3 linked regions of the Caenorhabditis elegans genome follow. The protein of the gene in region 2 binds, or shares a complex with, the protein of the main gene of each other region. Each region holds a gene or a part of one and is shown on either strand. Other genes may lie near its edges. The genes, in order: bbs-9, bbs-4 and osm-12.

Evidence for each region.
Region 1: bbs-4 (region 2) and bbs-9 share a complex: the UniProt entries of both Caenorhabditis elegans proteins name them as parts of the BBSome complex.
Region 3: bbs-4 (region 2) and osm-12 share a complex: the UniProt entries of both Caenorhabditis elegans proteins name them as parts of the BBSome complex.

What each region holds. Positions count from the first base shown.
Region 1 is NC_003279.8:6,917,176-6,926,433, reverse strand, and holds bbs-9 (Protein pthb1 homolog), read left to right. Parts: upstream 1-3,460; 5' UTR 3,461-3,478; coding exon 3,479-3,566; intron 3,567-4,034; coding exon 4,035-4,102; intron 4,103-4,148; coding exon 4,149-4,281; intron 4,282-4,745; coding exon 4,746-5,053; intron 5,054-5,226; coding exon 5,227-5,413; intron 5,414-5,463; coding exon 5,464-5,593; intron 5,594-5,642; coding exon 5,643-5,730; intron 5,731-6,118; coding exon 6,119-6,277; intron 6,278-6,318; coding exon 6,319-6,466; intron 6,467-6,746; coding exon 6,747-6,845; intron 6,846-6,897; coding exon 6,898-7,029; intron 7,030-7,309; coding exon 7,310-7,396; intron 7,397-7,578; coding exon 7,579-7,730; intron 7,731-7,786; coding exon 7,787-7,939; intron 7,940-7,988; coding exon 7,989-8,055; intron 8,056-8,103; coding exon 8,104-8,192; intron 8,193-8,537; coding exon 8,538-8,684; 3' UTR 8,685-8,734; downstream 8,735-9,258. Other genes in the region: hrpc-1 (RRM domain-containing protein), read right to left, coding at 116-125; C48B6.9 (uncharacterized protein), read left to right, coding at 975-1,043, 1,092-1,253, 1,301-1,584, 1,640-1,725, 1,824-2,014; C48B6.10 (Small integral membrane protein 15), read left to right, coding at 2,764-2,854, 3,101-3,195; C48B6.2 (U3 small nucleolar ribonucleoprotein imp3), read right to left, coding at 8,948-9,202, 9,251-9,258. UniProt on the Caenorhabditis elegans protein: Component of the BBSome complex. The BBSome complex is thought to function as a coat complex required for sorting of specific membrane proteins to the primary cilia.
Region 2 is NC_003281.10:9,608,089-9,615,146, reverse strand, and holds bbs-4 (BBSome complex member bbs-4), read left to right. Parts: upstream 1-2,949; 5' UTR 2,950-2,955; coding exon 2,956-3,024; intron 3,025-3,078; coding exon 3,079-3,380; intron 3,381-4,144; coding exon 4,145-4,348; intron 4,349-4,392; coding exon 4,393-4,621; intron 4,622-4,738; coding exon 4,739-4,806; intron 4,807-4,856; coding exon 4,857-4,991; intron 4,992-5,044; coding exon 5,045-5,249; intron 5,250-5,354; coding exon 5,355-5,462; intron 5,463-5,510; coding exon 5,511-5,579; 3' UTR 5,580-5,757; downstream 5,758-7,058. Other genes in the region: F58A4.6 (DUF4807 domain-containing protein), read right to left, coding at 32-177, 221-391, 441-568, 617-656; pri-1 (DNA primase small subunit), read left to right, coding at 868-967, 1,014-1,272, 1,401-1,611, 1,660-1,965, 2,018-2,102, 2,482-2,599, 2,647-2,800; clec-161 (C-type lectin domain-containing protein 161), read left to right, coding at 6,460-6,581, 6,886-7,010. UniProt on the Caenorhabditis elegans protein: Component of the BBSome complex. The BBSome complex is thought to function as a coat complex required for sorting of specific membrane proteins to the primary cilia.
Region 3 is NC_003281.10:12,198,605-12,205,147, forward strand, and holds the start of osm-12 (BBSome complex member bbs-7), read right to left. Parts: upstream 3,934-6,543; 5' UTR 3,847-3,933; coding exon 3,748-3,846; intron 3,461-3,747; coding exon 3,398-3,460; intron 2,718-3,397; coding exon 2,463-2,717; intron 1,230-2,462; coding exon 792-1,229; intron 740-791; coding exon 655-739; intron 1-654. Other genes in the region: Y75B8A.13 (titin), read right to left, coding at 5,294-5,415. UniProt on the Caenorhabditis elegans protein: Component of the BBSome complex. The BBSome complex is thought to function as a coat complex required for sorting of specific membrane proteins to the primary cilia.

The sequences.
Region 1 (9,258 bases), on a different chromosome or scaffold from region 2:
ATCATATTACATCGGTATCGCTTTTCCCAAAAATTTCTAAACAACTCCAATTCCGCTGCCGAAGTTGCCTACTTATTCTCTAGTTTATTTCTCATTTTGCATTAAAAACACTAACCAGCACTCATTTTCCATTGATTCTCTGAAGTGTTCGGGATGAATGACGTTTATCACTGAAAATCTTCACTAAAAATTTAAATAATTGAGAAAATTGAGCAAAGTTTGAACATAACGGTTAAAACACGAACATAACATAATTGGAAAAGATTATCGATCGCATGAGTGGTTCAGAGTGGGAAGAGGTGACAATGGTTTGAAAATGAGAATAATGGGAAGAGAAAATCAATCATAATGCGCAGACAGGGTATGTTCATTCCTAATGCAGTAAATTTTTTGTTTTTTTCCTAAAACAGAATCCCACCTTGAGGGGTTTTTAAAAATAAGTGTAAATAAAATTTTCAGAACCAATATTGAAAAGGTATTTCTATTTTTAAATTTATTTTGTGGGCTGAAACAAAAATTGTACAATGTACAACAAAATTGTTTAAAATTTTTGATTCTGCATGCACTAGAGGCACTGAATATCACGACATTTCGAATTTCAGTTTTTATTCGCCAATTTTTCTTGTTTCCTCGAAAAAACCAAATTAATCTTTAAAAAATTGGTATTTCTTTCCTAGCGTTTCGGCATATTGCATCTCATTATGATCTCTTCTTGTATCTTTTTCAAATGCCACCACCTGGTGATAGACTCTTTCGAGAATCTCTCCCCGTTCGCATCCTTACACAAAAACTTATGCGGCTCATTCTTCAGTGGTCCGATTGGTGCATTCGGCGAACACTGATTGCTCCCTCTGTGTGCCTTTGTAATAAAAAACTTTTCGTTGTTAAAAAGAAACGTTTTTTGTCGTTATCTCGAGCTTGGCAAAAAAAGTTAGATTGCTTTTTTTCCGGCCACAATACTTGTTTTTTTAGAAATGGTTACATCTTCAACACCCAGACGTGGGTTCCACATACCGACCACATTAAATCACGAATCCCTTATGGTAATTTTTAAATCGGAATTTTTCTCATACTTTATAATTTATTTTTAGGCTCAAAACTCGCCAATATCGATGAGATATTCAGTATCATGTGGTGGTGGGAAGGGAATTGGAACTACTGGAACATATAGCGGAGCTGGGGGACAAGTTAGCGATAGTCACCCATCAGTTCTCGATTTGAACAGCGAAAACCGAGTAATGGACCGAAAAACGGTAAGAAAAGTTTTTTTCAATCTTTCTATGCATGAAATTGTGTTTAGGTTCACTGGAATATGCTTCTCCTCCTCTTCATGTCAGTTTGCTCGGCATTATTCACCGTTGTTGCTCTACAATTCCACTTTTCAAATGCCGAACGATTTCTTCGCACCGCAAAATCACCGGCATCGGCATATCGAGGAGTAATCGATGTCATTCGGGATGTCATCGCCTCATTCGACGTGGCAATCGTGATTCTGTCGATTCTGGCATTCTTTGTGTCTGCTCTTCAATTACTATTCCTGATGAAGATAGTAAAACAGACACAACAACCGGATGATATTGATGTGTTAGTGCTTTTCAAAAGTTTCACATTAAATAGCTTGAACATTTTAACATTACAGGGCACTTCGATACATCAAATCAACCAGCTTTTTAAGAATTGTGGCATTCTCGTTTTGGTTCGCATCAATAATAGTCTTCGTGATCGGTGAGTTTCTTAAATACTATTCATACGCGATTATAAAAATTCAAAAGAATGAATTCGCTAGAATACAAGAAACAACTCTGCAATTCTAATATTTTCAGTGCTAATGCTCACAGTCTCAATTGACCCATCGCGAAGTTTGGCCTCAAAATGTGTATCGATTACTTTAGGATCTTCCGCCGTCTTTCTTGCCACTTGCTTCGCCGTGAAAACCCTCTATTTCTGGGCAAATCATTCTTGTGGGCACGTCTACCGCGAGGATTGTTACAATTACCTAAGCACACTGGTCTGAATGTATTATTTTTATAGCTTGTTATTCTACCCACTTCTATATTGAGCTTTTTCATCACGCAAAGTTTCTCAAAATTGACACCAATGATCTGATTTATTTCATACACATAAGACTAATAATGAATTCTTATTGAAATCCTGATTAATGGATCTTTTTTAGTTCATTACTAATACAAGGCTTATGTTCATGAATTCGAGGGAAAACTAAAAGAAAACAGAACAAAAATGACGGAGCAGACATAAATCAAGATGCGGATAAATAGTAGTAACATACATAAGAGATATCTATTTTGTGTTTTGCAATATTTATAAATATTGTTTTTTTTTAATTTTAGTAAAAAAGTTTGAGAAGCAAGTGAGAAAGTATATTTTCAGAAGAGTAAAAAAAAACAAAGATTTGCAAGAGAAAAAAACGTTTTCAAAATTGTGTTCTGAATGCCTTTGGACGCGTCGCGGTGGCGCTGCGTGTTCTTCCAGCATGGCATTTTTTCCAAAGAAGAAACACGTTTGCATTTGTTCGTCGCCCATTTTTATTCGTACATTCCGTACAAATTTTATCAGTTTCTGATAGATTTAATATTGTACAATGAGAATTTCCTATTTTTATTTGGCATTTCGCAAGTTAAATCATTTAAAAACAGCTTTTTGTAGAGAAAAATACTGAAAACTACAGTATACTCAATTTTTTGTGTTCTTCAAATTAAATTTGTTTCATTTATTTTTATTATTTTCAGGTGTTAGCTAGCAAAAATGGTTGAGCTTGGAGGAAAAGGGCCATACTCGACATCGTTCGATAACTCTGTCTTCATCATCCCCGCAATCGTTATTGTAGCCGTTTTCGGTGAGTATATTAAAACTAAAAATAACAACGAATCTCGCAATAATTTACAATCTTCAATAGTCAAATCTTTTTGGTCGGGCTATTTGTTAAGACCAACATAATTTTTGAGTACTGTAGGTCTAACATGTTTTCCTTTTTTTGAAGATAGGCTAAGTTCCATTAAAAAAACATGCTTCTACCGTATTCAAATTGATAAAAACAATTCACACATCCATCAAGCAGTTGATAGAAACATAATGTTTTCAGCCTACGCCGTTATCAAGCTCCGTGACACCACTTTGGCTAAGGATAACAAAAGCACGGCTCGTCAACGCCGTGAGGAGAAGAAGAAGGCCAAGTAAATGTACAAAAACAGGACTACATCCAAAGTTCACATTCCAAAGACAACTCGACATACAATTTAACAATTTATACTTCGATTTCCATTTGGGTTTTTTTGTATTTATTTAAAAGTTTTATTTGATATTAATAACGTTTTCTAATGTAAAAATAAAATTGATGAACGGATCTTGTTTCTCCATTCTCTACACGCTGCTCCATATGGTTTCCATGACAACACGCGCACAGCAGTGAGCAGGTGAACATCGACTCTATTGCTTACTCTAGGGCACGCTTCAGTCAAAAATGTCGCTTTTTCGGCTCGTCGAATGGGTTTCACAAACAATTCCTAATACGTCAACTATATTGAACGCTTCATTTTTTCAAGATAGAGGTACTTTTTTCAAGATGTCAAGGTCTCCAGTTCGATGTCATGGTTGTGCAATTTTTTTTGTTGAAAAAAAAAACGAATCTCAATTTTGCTCCACTGAGTATATAGTTTTCGACGTTAAAATAGTAACATCAGTAGGATTTTTCCAAAATGCACTCAAAATTAATTTTTGGTCAAAAATTTGGCACATTGCCAAATTATTGAAAAGTTGGTTTTTCTTTAATTTAGAGAATTCTTAAATATTCCAAGCTTGAAAATGTTTGAATATAAATAATTAAAACAAATAGAATGATGAACTTGTGGAACATTTTTAATTTTGGTCGGTTTCCAAAATCATGATAGGTGAAAACTGACCATTCTTTTTTTGACTAAATATAAAATTTTTCAAATATTTGGAAAATTTTCACAATGATATTTGGTCATCTTATTACTATCGAAAGGCTCTAAACGATTCCCCCGTCATTATTCCAGAGCAACTTGTTATTGGAGGAGAAAACGGTCAAATTACGATCTCAGATCCAGGATTCAGGGATACCAATGTGACTTTTAAAAGTCGAAAGATTGCAAAAAATGTGGTAATTTCAGGCGCATGTACTGTGTACAACTGAAACTAAATATGCTATACTCCAAATGGCATCTGATAACTTTCTACCTTCAATGAATAATATTCTTGCCGTCTTATCACCAACAAAGTTAACCTATTACAAAGTTCATTTTGGTAAGTTATGTATCTATTCAGCTGTTATTTATCATACAGAGTGGCTCATAATTATGACAAACAGATGTGGTATCATAAAAACTGTTTTTTTGCAAACTAGGTCAACTCCAAGATATTCCTGATCCAACATTACATTAATAATTGAATACATCTTTCTAATTCGTTAATATAAAACACGTTTTGATAAATCGAACTATGAAATCTATTTTGACAGGCTCCATATTTTTGAGTCTTTTCATTTTGAAACCGATAGTTGTTGATACATGTTTATTTAACTTCAAAGAGAGATAAATACAATATTTGATTCGGATTGTCTTAATAAATACGGGTCATCCTGTAATATACAAAAAATAATAGGCTCAAGTACGAAACAAGGCTGTGCGGCTGGTAAAAAAATTCGGCTGTCGGCTGATGCCGACAGCCGACAGCCGCACAGCCCTGGTACGAAATGGTTAAAATTTCAGCAAGTCCTGATGAAACCCTCGCATCACTTGATGAGATATTCTCTCATTCTTTTTCAACATCTGCATGGAATATGTGTGTAATACCAATTGAAGAATCAACTCCACAGATATTAGTGCAATCAATTGATTGTAAATTATCTTTGTTTCAAGGAGATCAATGTGTTTTTTCAATGGTTCCATTGAGAGCTCTTCAACCAGGACCAATCGGTTACTGTCAGACTACACAAACTCTTTTTGTTGCAAATAATGGATTCTTAGCTGCTATCAAATTCAGTCTTATGTCAAGTGGATCGCAGAAAAAGATTAATGTAAGCTGTGGACTATTGAATATTTTTCGAATGTCCAATATCATCGGGAAACTAAAAAGTATTGAGTTAATTACAAATAATAAACCCAAGCTGTCGAATTTTGATAACGCTGAACATTTTTTCAAATATGCTGACTTTACACTGACAGTAAATTTGAGTCTTCTTTTTTTCAGTATGACTGGTCTTTTAATCTGGGTGATACTGCAATACAAATGAAAGTAACCGAAGGATCTAAACCAACAACCATTGTATTATGCCGCCGACACGTGTCTGCATTTAATGCAACTGGATCAGTTGTCTGGCAGATTCGTTTAGAAGCTGTTGGAATGGCAATGTGTCTTTATAGATCACTTCTGATTAGTAAGATTTCATATATTTTCAAACTTTTATTAATGTTTACTCTCAATCAGATAACACTCAATTCAATCGTTTAATAGTTTCAACATCTGACGATACATTGCTAATATTTCAAGATAATAAACTTGTATGGAACTGTAATGCTCAAATGTCACCAGTTGCACTATTAGTTTGCTCTTATAAGTTAGTTTTTGACATTTCTAGAATTAAAATAAGAATTTTAATATTTCAGCAAATCCTATGAGAATACCATTACAATGATGGCACCAGACGGTAAAGTTGTGGTTGGATATCTTGGAACCGAGCCAAATTTATATAGGGTGAGATTTTTTTTTGTATAGATGTGATATAGGGCCATTTATAATTTAAAATTATCAAGTATCAGGATAAATCATTTTTAGCTTTCGAAAATTATAGTTTTGGCAAAATGCCAAATTTTTGGAATATAAGAATCATACTTAAACTTTTTTTTTAATGTTTTACTTTCATTTTTGACTGTTTAAGAGTGGTCTTTAACAATTCTCACACTGGCGCTGCACAATCTTTTCTAATATGTATTCAGCTTTATCTTCGTTCAAATATTAATAGAATTAGACTTAAGATATAATATTCGAAATTAGTGTCAACTAGAAGTAATTTTAACAGATACAGTAGACCTATGGTAATTGAAACAAATCGGTCACTATTTTTATCGCAAAAAAATTACAGTTACCCGAGGACAAAGTGATAGTAAATTACGCGGAACGAATGGAAGAATATAAGAGAATGGAGCAAAAAATCAAGGAATCAGATGCAGCCGGTGGAGCTATCAAAAGAAAAGAAGGAATTCAAATGAAGCTGAGCATTGGAGAAATTGGTAAACGAACTGTAAGTTTGTTCATTGGAACATTATTCAAATATTAATTTAGATTGAGCCAAATGCTGCAAGCAATGCACCATACTGCAACCTTATTGTAGAATTCTCAGAAGTTCAAAATGTTTCTAAACTTCACATCAATATTCTATCGGAATGTGCTTCTCCATCCAAACAAGTAATTCTTAATGTGGGGACTTCAAGTAAGTTTTTATCATAAACTTTCGGTCTGGAACAAATTCGTTTATAACAATGTTCTACATTGAACTCTTGTTCCTAAGAACAAAAACAGTTATGGTAAATTTAAAAATTGAAAAAAAGTATTGGAAACGTTGATAGTGGAAAAATCTAAAAACATATAAAGTTGTAATTTTTGTTGCATAAATTTAATACTTTTCGAATCTACAGAAAGCGCAACTCAATTCAACATTTATTGAAAAAATTATTTTGTTCTGAAACTCTAATAATCCATTTACCTTTCAGAGTCCACTGCATCTATTGAAATTCCATTTTACGTCGGATCCAAAAAATCTCCAACTAGCAATAAAGTCACTATTGCAGCACATTGCGCATTCACCCAATGTAATTTCAGATTACTAACCGAATTAAAATAGTTCAATAACTTTATTTTTAGTAACAGTCACCAAATCAATCGATTTGCCATTCAAAGTATTGTTTGAGGAATCACAAATTGATAGAAATGCAAAATATAAAGTGACAATTGATACAGCTGGATCGGTTATGCCACTGAATAAATTATTTTCTGGTGAGCTATTTTTCCTTCATTCTGACAAAAGGCATAACTATTGTAATATAGAAAATTAATTAACATGTGCCAAGCAACTAACTTTTTTTGGAATACTTGTAGGACAAACGTTTTCAAAGTTATTTAAAATTTTTGAAGTGTTTATTAATGATATTAACGATGCTAGTATATAATGGACTATTATGAGTGATTTTCCAAAAATACCAGCGCTAACTAACGATAGTTTTGAGTGTTTAAGGTGCGATGTTTATAGAACTCAAATCTTAACAATGATTTTTAGAGTTCGAATCTGAAAATCCACAAGCAATTGGATTTTCTCTTCATGGCTCTGATAAGACAGTTTCAGTGTTTGCAGCCAACAAGTCAAGTAAGTTTCTTCCATTTCAATAAAGCATAGACAGGTATGCCTACGTACTTACCTTAAGCTTGCCTGCCCGAAGCCTATTTTATTAAATTTTTGGAATTTGGAATTTGTTCGATATTCCTTGTGCCCAGATGGAAAGCGTTAATTTGAAACTTCGAAGTACGAGGAGAATGAAATATTTCCAGATCGTTACCGTATTCAATCAGAACATATTTCATTATTACAAATAACATCAAGGGAATTGGTAAAACGAATTGCTGAATCAGCGCCGGGAATTGAAATTGGAGGAGTTATTCCATTTGAGTACATGAGAGAAACATTGGATGAAATTCAAGAGGTATTAAAGTTTTTTTAAGTAGAAGAAAAAATAATATCCTTCAAAAAATATTACAGCTTCAAACGAAGAAAAAGGAAGATTCAAAGAAAATTGACTGTCGAACAAAAGAAGTTCGAGCAATTGAAGCATTATCTTTGAATTCGTGTAAAACTGGAAATATGGGAAATTTGCCTTCTTTGGATGCACTGTTTGATAAATCATATAGAGAAGTAATGGAAATCGTGAATAATTTGAAATTAATTTATGGGAGTTTTGCAGCTTCTCGATGCAATGGATAGTTACAATAGTTTAACTGCAAAAATTGAAAATCAAAAGGCTTCATTGAGTAAGTAGTAAGTAGGTTGTTCTTAGTTGTCTCACGAGAACTTTTCAGACTCATTATTCCAATTGGCAGCAGATTTGTCAAAACTTTCAAAAGTGGATACTATTTTAAATGGATCTTTCTGGGCAAATACTCAACAGGTAACTTTTTTATATTTAGTTTAAGTTTAATAAAGAAACCGACAAAACTAACCAACAAATGTGCAGAGCTTATCCTGCTTAAAAATTATATAAACATTGTAAACTCAAAATAAATGATAAATGCCGAGAAAATCAAAAAAAGACTGTAACGAAAATAACTTTATTCAAAGAACGAGTATATTAAAGTCGATTAAAATTGTTACAAAGCAGAACCCAGAATGCCACAGTGGTATGGTGTAAACTCTTTTGAGCAATAGATGTCTAATCGCGCCGAGACCTGGTACCGTACTTTTTCGTCAAATCTTTTTTACAACTGTATAATAACTAATTTTTTATTAATTAAAGTCTCTACGAGATCGCCTTCGATGGGCTGTGAAAACAGATCGTGGAAATGAAATGACAATGATTGAGAAACTATGTGAACACTCGCCAAAGGAATTACCAAAAATTAGAGAAGAAGAGGAAGAGGAAGAGCAACAAGTGACAGCTTAATTAATTTAAAGAAGAACATATTTAAGTAATTTAATGAAGATTTCTATTTTTATAGTTTTTCTATTAAACATGAATTCATTTTCATGTCGACTTCAAGCTCTACATTTCGCTGCGAGACCCGCCTTTTTGAATGAAATTTCAAAAGCTTTTGTAAGTTTGTGAATATTTTTATACATTTTAGAATTCAATAACATCTGAAAATGTTTATTGATAACAACGAGAACAACAACAGCAACAAATCAAAATTTAAAAACAAACAAAAATTAATCCATGAGATCGAAATCGTCTCGAGTATTATTATAATCCATGACGTGTTTCTTGATTTTCGAAGCTTTCGTCCATGTGATCATATCTTCAGACGATCGTGTAACCATAAATGCTGGATCGGTAACCAGTTTCGTTCCGATTCGAACGTGTCCCTGCTCCACGAGATCTGACGCAGTTTTGACTGATTCACACATTCCAATATTTCTCATCACGACTGGAAGACGACGACGAGCGAATGATGCTCCAGTCACCTAAAAATGTTTTATTTTGTGTAATTAAAATCGAAACAGGACAAAAACCTTTCCAA
Region 2 (7,058 bases):
AATAAGCCTTTTCTACTTTCAAGAATCCAACCTAACAATATTAACAGCATGCGAGAGATTTCCGAGTTGTGCTTCTGCGAGGGCGGTATACAGGTAGCATCGTGCAAGAATAACTGGATCTCCATATTTTTTCGCTAAGTTGATTTGATGAGCAGTAATTTTTGCAGCGACTTTCGCCTGAAAAGCTAGCGTTAAACTAAAGTGTAAACTGATAACTTACATAATTTGCATCGAAATCTCCCATAGCTGAATAAGCGCCACCTAGAGTAGACAAGTTCCACATGAGCTTTTCGAGATCAAGCATGTATCGGAAATGGTGTTTCAAACGTCTTTCCCAAGCATAATCGAGATTTTGTGCCGGATTTTTCACTTGGATGTTGACAAGAAGTTTCTGAAGCTTAAATATAATAACTTCTGGCAATAGAAGATAAATTAGTTACCTTATCGACGGGAATATTATAGAAGGCACGTATTTGAGCAAACGAATATTCTTCACGACACTGGAGAATATTCAAAAATCCGTACAAATCGTCCAAATTCGTGAATTCGAATACTAGTGATTGGGTACCTGCAATTATTTTATATTAATTAATTATTTGCTTATCTGACAGCTTACTGGTCGATGGAATTTCCGTAGAATGTTTTATTGAATTCATTTGTACACTGAAAATGAGTATAGAAATGGAGAGAAAATGGTCTTTTAGAGAAAAATAAAATAATGCAAACGCGCCCTGTTGTACACGCCGCGAAATTGGAATTTAAACCAGTTTACCGCACTACATATGTGCCTATTTCTTGAGGATTTCATCTTTTTTTAGCTTGAATTTCAATTGAACCAAATATTTATAGTTTTTTTTCTTTTCAGAAATGTCTTATAACTCCATCAGACTTCCACAAGATTTGCCAATATACTACAAAAACTTCTTCCCAGTCAAACCATTCACAAAATGGCTCCGCTACGGACAAAGTGAGTTTCGAATTTCGATTTTCTTAACGAAATTTGAAATTTGCAGATAACGGAGACTATTTCAACCGCCGAGAATTCGCATTCATTCTGGCAGATGACGTTCATATCAGATATCGTAGTTACAATGACGAACACGCATTTTTCAAAGCACTTTCAAGTACTAACCCGGAAAAACTTGATATTGGAGCTGTCTACAATCACGAGCCAATTAATAACAAGAGACATACAGATTATCAAGCTGTGGAACGAGAATTGGTTTTTGATATCGATTTGACCGACTACGATCCAGTTCGTAATTGTTGCAAGTAAGAGTTTACGAAAATCCCGTTTCCGCGTATCTCTATTTTTATATTGATATATTTAGCAAAGATAGTTATTTGAGGGCATTATTAAGATGATCTGTAACCCACTTTTCGATTTTCTAATTTTTCAGAGATGCCACCGTCTGCCCAAAATGCTGGAAATTCATGGTTCTCGCTGTTAAAATCTTGGATTTCCAACTGGAAGATATGTTCGATTTCAAAGCACGAATGTGGGTCTTCTCTGGTAGACGTGGAGTACATTGTTGGGTCGGTGACAAAAAAGCGAGGATGTTGAACAATTATCAAAGATCTGCAATCGCGACCAGACTCAATTTGTTCAAGGTTCGAGAACTTCTTTGTCCAAATTAGAATAAAAAATTCATTTTACAGAAAAATGGCCAATGTGAGGTGACTGAAGGTCGGGCCAAAATGACGAAAGTTCCGCCGATTGTGCGTGACGCGTTTAACGTTGCATTGAAAGATGGAGTTTTCGAGAAGATGATCTATGACCAGGGATGGCTGGATAAGGAAGATTTTATCACAGAGTACAAGTTTATGTCAGAAGTAGGCAGAGATGACTTGCGTAGCCTTTCCGAGACTTACAAAACTCCACAAGAACGCTGGAACATGATTCGTGGGCTTTTTGATGACGACTATCGCAAATCGCTTTCTCCGAAGGACGGTCTTCTCGATTTTGTAAGTGGAAGCTTTGAGATAACAGTCGGAAAATAGATAAATCAATTTTCAGAAAATGCAAGGTCGCGACCGAAATTATCTTCTCTACTTTGTTCTTCAACGATGCTATCCACGTCTTGATGTTAATGTATCTACAGGTGAAATGTTTTTTACATATTTAAAAATAGTTTCAAAATCAAAAAGAAACTGTATAATTTCAAAAAATTTCGACATGCATTCTTGAAAGTGCACAGATTTATTCAGATGGGCCTCGGCGCGAAAAAAAAATACAACCATTACTTTTTGCGCACCGAGACCCATCTGAATAAATCCGTGCTCCTTTAAGAAGGCATGTCAAAATCTTGGGAAATTACGATAAATACTGAAAACTTCCTTTATTTCGAAAATAGTTTTTTTCTTAGAATTTCTCACCCTACAGATTTCAAAAAATTGAAACTTTCTGAACAAAAAATAATTATTTTCCTAATTTTTCGATGAAACTGCGTTGATTTCGTACTAAACGGTCACATTTTACAGGAACAAATCACTTGCTCAAATCCCCATTCTGCATTCATCCAAAGACCGGAAACGTTGCAGTTCCTCTGAATGTCGGTAAAATTGAAGAGTTCGATGTAAGCAAATGTCCTCGAATTGAGTAAGTAAAAAGTCGTCTCTCTAATAGTATTATCCAAAAACTTTCAGTCATGTCGTGGAAGAGTTGAGCAGTCTTTTGGCTGAACGAGGAAACGACGAGAACGAGGATTCGAAGAATCGAAAATTCCTGGCGTACAAGCATGGAGCTCTCGCACCTTACGTTGAAAACTTTGAAAAGTTTGTATCGGCTTGCATTTCATAAATTACTTTCATTTTTCTTATACTGTAACATGATTTCTACTTTAACAATAAATTTTTTTCTCGAGACCTTTTATAGCATGTGGCGTCCGCGAGTTTCCATGGCAACGGCAAGGAGAAAGACGTAGGCAGTTATTGAGGGTGCATAGCTTATTAAAAATGGAAGCGAGTAATCAAGATGAAATTATTGGAACTGACGTTATTCCAAATGAACAGGACAATCCAGAAGTGAGTTAATGAAATAATTTGAAACATTTTTTCGTTTATAATTCTGTTCATCAGGAAGTAGTACCTGAACCAACATCCCTTGATGTTCCACCACCTCCACCAGAACGTGCTCCGTCTGCTCCAAAACGAGTGGAAATTCTCGATTGTAACTCATTAAATGGTCTAATGTATCATTATTTTGCCCAAGGCGACTATATTGAGTGCAAATCAATAATTGGAGAAATTCAAAGCAAATATCTTGAAAGAAATGAAGCTGCTTTTCATGTTCGTGGACTAATTGCAAGAAATGAAGGAGAACTTGAAGAAGCGATGGAATGCTTTCATAAAGCTTATGAGCTTTCTGGCAAAAATAAAAGGTGAATATGGCCGTATATGGTAAATTAGTGAAAAAAGGAAACTTTGCCTTAAAGGTGCGCTTCATTTAACGATTTTTGCGCCAAAAATACGGTACCCGGTCTCGACACGACAAGTTTTTGTTTATTGTTTCCAAAAAAGTGTGCGCCTTTAAAGAGTACTGTAGCTTCGAACTTTCGTTGCCGCGTTCGATATATCGATTATAATTCGCATCGATTTTTATAGTTTTCCGTTGAAAACAAATTTATTTGTTGGAAAACTAAAAACTATTAAAAATCGATGAAATTCTTTTCAGGGTTTCATGTCACCGATTTACTGTGATTTATTGTTAACAATAATGTTGAAAAACTATTGTAATTTCGTAAGAATTCGATTAAAGGCACACGCTGTTTTTTGAGTGGGTCTCGCCACAATTTCAGTCACAGTACTAGCTACAAGTTCTATATTCCACATAATTATTATTTTGATAATGAAAAATACGTTTATGAAATTTCCAGGATTTTTAGTAAAAAATTTAGTGCATAGTTTCAAGTTTTTGCGAACAAACTATACAAATTCTAATTTTCAGTCATTTTTTACAGTAAATTAATATAATTTAATTGAAAAAACTTCACAAATAATATATAAAATGTCAATTTCAATGTCAGATGCAACAAGAGAGTTGCCAAAACTTGCCAAAACTCGTTGGTGCCAACTTCTTTCTTGTACCAGTAAAGGAATACCTTTAAATATAGGAAAATTTCAAATAATTATCTATTTATTACAGATATTTTTATGAAACTGGAAGATGTAATTTCCTACTTGGTCGCCATCAAATTGCTGTTGAACAATTAACAAAAGCAAGTGAAGTAATGAAAGACAATCCAAAAGTTTGGTATTGGCTCGCTCGAGCAATTTATCATTTTCCTGCTGAAAAGGTGCAAGGGAAAACGTTCAATCCTGTAGAATCTGCAAGGACAATTCTAATGAAGTAAACAATACGTTTTTTTCAAATACCGAATCTTCTGAATTCAGACCTGATATAGCCAAGGATGCCACGTTAATTTGCTTTCTGGGTCGACTTTGTGAAGAACTTGGGGACACTTCGGGTGCAATTGCTGCCTATAAATCATCATTAAAATTACAACCAGATAATACAGAAGTCATGAATCTACTTGGGTTGATTTATCTCAGAACTGGACAAGTACAAGAAGGATTTGTTCAACTTGGAAATTGTTTGGCTTATGATCCAGCCAATAGTCAGGTCAGATGAATTTTCAACTGTTATTTGTATCTCGTCACAAACGTATCAAAAATTTCACAGTCATGAAATAAAAAGAAAAACGTCCATAAAATGTAATTCTAAAATTGAAAAGTTCAGGCTATTCTAACAATTGGATCCATAATGCAAAATCACTCTGATCATGACGTTGCTTTGAATAAATATCGGTAATGTTTTTGCTTCATATCCAATTTGAAATAAAAATGAAAATTTTCAGTGTTGCGGCAGATGTGAGTGACTATAACGGTTGCCTCTGGAACAACATTGGTATCGGTCTTCTGGCCAGAAATAAACCAGCTGCTTCTCATTCTGCTTTGAAAAAAGCCGCTTTTATCAATCCCTTAAACTATAAGTACGAGAAGGAATGGCTTGAATTATACGTAATAATAATACAATTTAATTCAGGATCAGTTATAATTTGGGAGTTCTTCATGATATCATGAATCTACATTGCTCGGCACTTCATTATATAAAATTGTGCACAGAGCTCTATCCACAAAACGCGAAAGCTGTCGGTGCGATGGCAGTGATTCTATCACATATGAATGATGATAAGAATGCACGATTGGCATACAAAAAATCAATTGAACTAAAGAAAAATCCATCAACGGTGAGCATTTCTGTTTGTGCTGAGTTCCAGTAAAAATATCCGCAATTGTATGGGATGGGTATTGTGGCAACAATGTGCATACGAAAACACCATCATAACTTCTAGATCTTAAACTACGCGATCTTCGAATATCGTATGAAAGACGTCACTGCAGCATCAAATGCATTGAAACTATATAAAGATCTTCAAGCATCTGGGGTCAAGTGTAGCGCGGTGAGACCATGAACATCTGCAGTCACGAAGCAAACAATTTGATTGCAGAACAATAAGGAAACTGCAAATCTTTTGGAAAGTGTGTTGAAGCAGCCTGATCAATCTGCGGAACAATAACAAACCGTCCCCCACCATGCAAACCTGGACATTTTTTTAATGAATAACCTTTGCAGAAACATCTCGATAATAGATAAAATAAAATTAAAAACGTATTGGATTTATGTTATTTACATTTAAATTAACATAAAAAGTGATTGGCGTACATTGATTTAACCTATCTATGTATAAATATTTTCTGAAAGGTGGCATCACGATTCTGATTGAGTTTTTGAAGTTGGGAGATCACATCATCCTTTCCAACAAAAAGGTTTTCATGTTCACAATTATTAATACAAGTTTGCTCACGACTGGAAATCTGCTTATTACAGAAAAGTATGCAACTACTACCAGCATCAAAAATACATTTAAACAAGTAAATATCGTAGAATGTTAAACTATGCAAAAAGTAGTGTTTTCTCTATTGACCCAATTGATCCACTTTGAATGGTTATATCTCAGTGTGTGATAGTCTGCCAAACTTTGACAAAATGTTGCCAACAACTTAATGAATGCCACTAACATTAGTTGTTTCAGAAATGAAATCGACACTAACTTTTATCTATGTCTCCCGAACTCTTCATAAGTTCAATACCAAAATTCAATATTTTTCCTGTTCCACATTCATAAATATTTTTTGCCGATCTCCAACCTTTATTTGTAACACAACCGCCTCTACAAAAAATCGGTGTTGGGGGCTTGAAAAAGCGGGGTGACGGGGTGACGGGTTTGATAGATTTTGCGAGAATCTCCAATAAAACACGCTCTCATTTTATCGACGCCTACCGTATGGATGAACGATAAAACGTGATATACGGAAAGCTTCTGCACACACTGTTTCAGCATCACCGCCATCCTCAACTAGTAGGCGAACTTTTCATTATTTGAGAAAATTCACAAAATGTACAGACGAACCACGTTATGGTTCTTACTATTATTCCAGCCAATTCTTGTCTTTGCTCAAAATCGAACGGAACTTTATGAGTGTAAGATTGGTACTGTCAATCCATTGGCTTCTACTAGGTAAGTTCAATTTGAATATCAATTTTTATTTAAATGACAACGATTTCATCTTTGGTGAAAAGATAATATGTATTTTTTTATTGATTTGTTGCCGATTAAACTTTACAATCCAGAAATTTAATCAATTAAGACTTATGTAAGACGTTTTTCCGGCAAATCGGCAATTTGCCGGTTTGCCGATTTGCCGGAAATGTTCAACATAAATTAGATGAATAAATTGTCCATTTTAAATGTAAATTTCAAAAAAAATCTCAGAAAAATATTAACCATCTAAACAACAAATGAAATAAATTAACTTTTCTAGCTTGAACGCATGCTTTAAACTCTACAACACACCAAAAAGTTTTCAAGCAGCAAGAAGGTATTGTGTTTCTTTGGGAGGTCAATTAGCTGATAAGATCAATAAGGATGACTCTTCCTTGTACTCAGGTGACACTTTCCATTTTGTACATATTTAAAATAAAATCTAAACTTTTA
Region 3 (6,543 bases), 2.6 Mb from region 2:
ACTGTAGGATTACTGTAGTTTTGAAAAAATTGGCTATTAATCTTTTGAAGAGATATTGGTTTGGGGTTAGCAGAGGGATATGGTCGGGGTATTGTAGGAGCACTGTGGGGGTACTGTAGGGGTACTGTGTGGGTACTGTAGAAAAACTGTGGGGGTGCTGTAAGAATACTCTCTGGGTACTGTAGGGGGTATTGTAGAACTACTTTAAGAGTACTGTGGAGGTGCTGTAAGAATACTATAAAGGAGATGTAGTTTTGGAAAAATACAAGACGTCGTTTGAAAAGATATGTATTAGTTGGGGTTAGTGGAAGGGGTATTGTAGGGGTACTGTAGGAGTGCTCTAGGAGTACTGTAGGGGTACTGTAGTACTGTGTTCATACTGTGGAAGTACATATGGGGGACTGTAATGGTATTGTAGGATTACTGTAGTTTTGGAAAATGAGTTGTTGTATTTGCGAGATATTGAGTTGGGCTAAGTGGGAGTGGTAGGGTTGATAACCGGCAAACTTATTTTCCGGCAAGTTTGGCAAATTGGCAAATTGCCGGTTTTTTTGCCGAAAAAAAGTTTGCCGCCCACCCCCTCCCTGGTTGATTGTGTTCACTGAGGCATTATCTTGCGAATTAACTGTATTCGAAAACTGAGCAGTTACAAACCTGTAAATGTGCAAATAATAATATCAATCTCAGATTTTGAAGATACATGACCGCACGATATTCCAGTTATCGACTCGTCACAAGACTGAAAACACCTTTTTTTTCATAAGAATTTTGCAACTTCAACAAAAGCCTACAAAAGTTCCGAATAAATGTGCATGATCAGTTTCATCAATAACGTAAATCTCAATCAATCCATCTTCTTTTCCCACAATAATATCCGGAAATTGTCCGCCAGTCACATTGAAGCACACAATTGTTGTGACACAAGCTCCCGACGTTGTATCAATTTCCCATAGGATCTTTCCACCGCCTTGAGGTACACTAACAAGTCCCAGCCTGCCAGTTTTTGTTCCGTAAAGAACCAAAAGCTTCGTATGACCACCATCGCCCATAAAAAGGGAAACTGTGAATGGAACACTATCGAGTCGGACATCATAGGCGAAGTTGTTGCCTTCAATGATTTGAAGAGTTGAGTTACCACATGCGAGAATTGAAGTGTATTCTCGACTCCCCCATGCTTCTTCGAATACAAGGCTTACAACATCATGAATGTCTTCCGTGCAAAGATAACTCTGGAATTTGTTCGTAGATCAATTTTGAGTTCTCTCTTACTACAAAATTGGCCATTTTAGAACAGTTTCAAAATTGTGAATTTTTGCCATAAATTGTCCATTTTTGCCACATTCTCATGGTTTTTGATGTGTTAAACCTAGATTTTCTGAATTCTCCATATACGAATTACCCGTGTTCAACTAATTTAGACAACTTTTTATTTTTGCCCATTTTCATTTTTCTGCCATCTAATGACTGCCCAATTTTTTTCGGGCAAAAAAATATTTTTTTGGAAATTATTAGAAATAGGAAAAGGGCAAATTTTTAGGGTTCTGGCATCAATTTTGAGTCCTCTAACTACAAAAATAACCATTTTAGAGGACTTTCAAAATTGTCATTTTTTGCCATAAATTGTCATTTTTGCCACTTTTTATTAGTTTTTGATGGGTTGAACCTAGTTTTTCTGAATTCTACGTATATGAATTACCCGTTTTCAACAAATTTAGACAACTTTTTATTTTTGCCCATTTTCATTTTTCTGCCATCTTTTGGGCAAAAATTTGGGCAAAAAAAAAGATTTTTCTGGAAATGTACAAAACCACTATATTCTGAAAAAGGGCAATTTTTTAGCGTTCGGAGATCAATTTTGAGTCCTCTAACTACAAAATTAACCATTTTAGATTAGTTTCAAAATTGCGTTTTTTGCCGTAAATTGTCCATTTTTGCCACTTTCTAATGATTTTTGACGGGTTAAACCTAGATTTTCTGAATTCTCCATATATAAATTACTTTTTTTAAACAAATTTAGACAACTTTTTATTTTTGCCCATTTTCATTTTTCTGTCATCTTTTGGGCAAAAATTTGGGCAGAAAAAAATTATTTTTCTGGAAATATTCGAAACTATTATATTCTAAAAAAAGGGCAGTTGTTCAATGCTTGGAGATCAATTTTTCTTTTTTAAGTTAAATATTAAACTCAAATTTGAATGGTAAAGAGCTTAACCACAGTTAGTTTAGCGATGTGCACCAGAGGTGCGCGGCAAATTTGCCAAATTTGCCGAACTTGGCGAGCACGGCAAACGTTAAAATTTGCTACACACCAAAAAGGGTGTTGGAAAATGTTGAAACATTTTCGTTTTTCTATTATTCGAATTTCCGAAATATTGTTTTAAAAAATTCAAAAAAAAATAATGTTATTTTTCATCAACAGAAACAAAATCTGGTTATGACCAACGGGTGGTGCAAAAACCTACATTCGAATCCACCGTGTCATGATATCTACTGTAACTTTTTCGTCCAGTCAAAACCACATCCAATCCACGTACGAACATTCGATTCGCAACTTCAGCCATATTAGTTTCCATCGAAAAAAATGTTTTTCCTTTTCGATTGACTCCTCGAACCGTATTTTGTGATGCGACAAAGATTTTATCCTTTTTTTTCGACGATGCCGGGCCACCGAGAGCCAACGATTGAACAGGGTATCCTGGTTGAGTTTTGAATATTATCTGGAAATTTTTAAATTAAAATCCGGCAAAAATCGGAAATTCGGAAATTTGCCGGAATTGAAAATTCCCAGCATCTCTTCAAACGGGCAAAGTTTCGGAATTTAAAAGTTCCGGCAAATCGACAAGTAGCCAAAATTGAGCTTTTTTGGCAAACAGCAAAGTCGGCAAATTGCCATTTTTCAAATTTCCGGCAAGTTCGGCATATCTCGGCAAATCGCTTCGTGCATTTCCCGAATATTTTCGTAAAAAGTACAAAAATTGCTAGAAGTACGAAAATGTGCGACAATGGGTAGAAACTGGGTAGAACCGATATACCGGCAATTTGCCGACTTGCCGATTTTTTCTTTTTTGGAAATTTCAGAATTTCAGTTGTAAAGGGCAAAATTGTACGCATCCTATGAATGTTTCTACATCTATTTTGAAAAATAAGCAAATTCTACATATGAAAATGTCTAAAGAAAACCGAAAAAACTTTAAAAAAGGCACAATTTTAAGTGTTTCCGTCTTATCCCTCTAAAATCTTCCGGGAAATTGATATCCGGCAAATCGGCAAACCGGCAATTTGCCGATTTGCCGAACGGCATTTGTTTCCCACGCCTGTTTTAGAAAACTACATAGCATGTGTACTCCACCAGAAAAATCTGAAACTGTCTGGAAAAAATCATAAAAAATTTACTCACCGTGGTGTCATTCGATTTTCTCGATAAACAGATTAAGCTTCCGTTCTGTCCACCGACTACTATCTGCAAACATCAAATTGGTTTTTTTTAACTTTCACGTATCTCTGGCCTCCCTCATAAATTTAAATGGAAGAGTTTGCCTAACTAAGCCAGGCCATATCTGGGGTAGATTTACGGCGCGTTGCGTGTCGCGTCGCGGCTCGATTGTAAAACTATATGTATTTGTCCGTGTGGAGTACACGTTGTGCGGCGGGGGTGATTGTCAATGGAGCGCGAAAAATTCAAAGAGGAAGGCTAGAAGCCCGTGTATATATCTGATACATGCTTAAAGTATTTAAAAAAACCCTTACCAAATCGTGTTCTTTCTCCTTATCCGACGGAATAACACGCATGCAACCCCGATTAGTAGTGCCGACTTGAGCGAAATCAGTTCTCGAATAATTTTGCATTTTTTACAGTGGAAGCTGAGAGAAATGTGAGCAGAAAATCCAAGATTTCAATAAATGGAGAACTAGGAACCGCCGAGTCGCTGGTGTTGTCGAGTTACTATGGCAACATGAGCTGGAGAGGGGTCAGGTGGCTCATTGGGGTGACGGGTGAGAAGCGAGGTGTTTGAAAAAGATTGTAGTAGGTATTTGCTTAGGAAATGGGCCATAATGACCGAGTCTAAAAAACAGTGCACTGCGGCAAATTTGCCGAAATTACCAAGCTGGGCAAATTTGCCGAATTTGCCGTTTTTTTTTTTAATTTCACATGAGACGTATGTCATCTAAAAGCTATACTACAAACTTGGTGACCACCAAAATTCAAAAAATAATTTAAAAAAACAGGAATTGAAAATTTCCGGCAAATCTGCAAACTGCCGGAATTGAAAATTTCTGGCAAAACGGGAATTTGCCGGAACTGTAATGATCCGGCAAATCTGCAAACTGCCAGAATTGAAAATTTCTGGCAAATCGGCAATTCGCGGGAATCGAAAATTTCCGACAAATCGGCAAATTGTCGGAATTGAACATTTACGGCAAATCGGCAAAACGGCAATTCGCTGGAATCAAAAATTTCCGGCAAGTCGGCAATTTTCCGAAAATGAAAATTTCCGGCAAATCGGCAAATTGCCGGAATTGAAAATTCCTGGCAAATCAGCAAATTTGCGGCAAATCGGCAATTTGCCGAAAATGAAAATTTCCGGCAAATACGCAATTTGCCGGAATTGAAAATTTCCAGCAAATTGGCAAGTTGCCGGAATTGAAAATTTCTGGCTAATCAGCAAACTGCCGGAATTGAAAACTTCCGGCAAATTGGCAAATTGCCGGAATTGAAAACTTCCGACAAATCGGCAAATTGTCGGAATTGAACATTTACGGCAAATCGGCAAAACGGCAATTCGCTGGAATCAAAAATTTCCGGCAAATCGGCAATTTTCCGATAATGAAAATTTCCGGCAAATCGGCAATTTGCCGGAATTGAAAATTTCTGGCAAATTGGCAAATTGCCGGAATTGAAAACTTCCGGCAAAACGGGAATTTGCCGGAACTGTAATGATCCGGCAAATCTGCAAACTGCCGGAATTGAAAATTTCTGGCAAATCGGCAATTCGCGGGAATCGAAAATTTCCGACAAATCGGCAATTTGCCGACGAAAAAATCTTTCGCGCTTGTCCACGTGTAGTACAAAATTCTGTCGTAAATCGACACACACTTGCAAAATCACCTCTTTTTTAATTCCTGCAAACTGCAAATTTCAGGGGTTGATCTAATTTTAAAAAAAAAACAAAAATTTATTGAATAAAAAAGTCAAACTTTTTCAATAAAATGGAACGGGTTAACAATATATAATCGTTTAAAAAAAAAGGGAGATCATTTTTAGAAAATCAAATATTAATTTTAGAAAAAAAAATCATTCAAGACGTGGTCTTTTCGGATCCTGGGCTTCATCCTCGTCGTGTTCAGGCAGGAATTCACGTTTTTGAGCGGCGGAACTTTCTGTAGATTCTTGAGCCGGAGCAGCAGGAGTTGTTACTGAAAAAAAAGAATATTTTTGAACTTTTCAGGGAAATACTTTTAAATTACTCTAAATTTGCGCCTGATTCCGAATATTTATGTTAAAAAATTCGAAAACAATCCCCTGAAATCTCGTAAATCGACAAAACGGAATTTTTAAAGGATTTTTGGAAATTTTTTTAAAAGGATTTTTCGGAATTTTTAAGGATATTTGGAATATTTTTTGGAATATTTTTTTGAAATTTTTTAAAGTACCTTTCGGAATTCTTTACGATTTTTGAAGGATTTTTTGGAATTTTTTGTATTAAAAAATACAAAAAATAAGGAATTTTTTAAAGGATTTTTCGGACTTTTGTCGGATTTTTTAGAGCTTTTTAAAGGATTTTTTGGAATTTTTTGTATTAAAAAATACAAAAAATAAGGAATTTTTTAAAGGATTTTTCGGACTTTTGTCGGATTTTTTAGAGCTTTTTAAAGGATTTTTTGGAATTTTTTGTATTAAAAAATACAAAAAATAAGGAATTTTTTAAAGGATTTTTCGGACTTTTGTCGGATTTTTTAGAGCTTTTTAAAGGATTTTTTGGAATTTTTTGTATTAAAAAATACAAAAAATAAGGAATTTTTTAAAGGATTTCTCGAAATTTTTTCGGAATTTATTGGTTTTTTTTCCGAATTTTTTGGATTTTTAAAGGATTTTTCGGAATTTTTTAAATGATTTTTTCGGAATTTTTTAAAAGAGTCTTTGGATATTTTTCGGAATATTTTTTTGATTTTCTTAATTTTTTTTAGGAAATTTTAGGAATTTTTTGAAAAGGGGTTTTCGGATTTTTTTTTTGAAATTTTTTTTTTTGAGTTTTTTAAGGAATTTTTTTGGGCTTTTTTGGAATTTTTAAAAGGATTTTTTGGAATATTTTTAAAAGAATTTTTGTGGAATTTTTTTAAAGGATTTTTTGGAATTTTTAAAACATTTTTTAAAAGGATTTTTTGGAATTTTTTTCGGAATTTTTTAAAGATTTTTGGATATTTTTTAGAAATTTGTTTCGGATTTTTTTTGGACTTTTTTTGAATTTTTTAAAGGATTTTTTTTGGAATTGAAATTTTAAAAAATTTTAGGAATTTTTTTGGAGTTTTTTAAGGAGTTTTTTA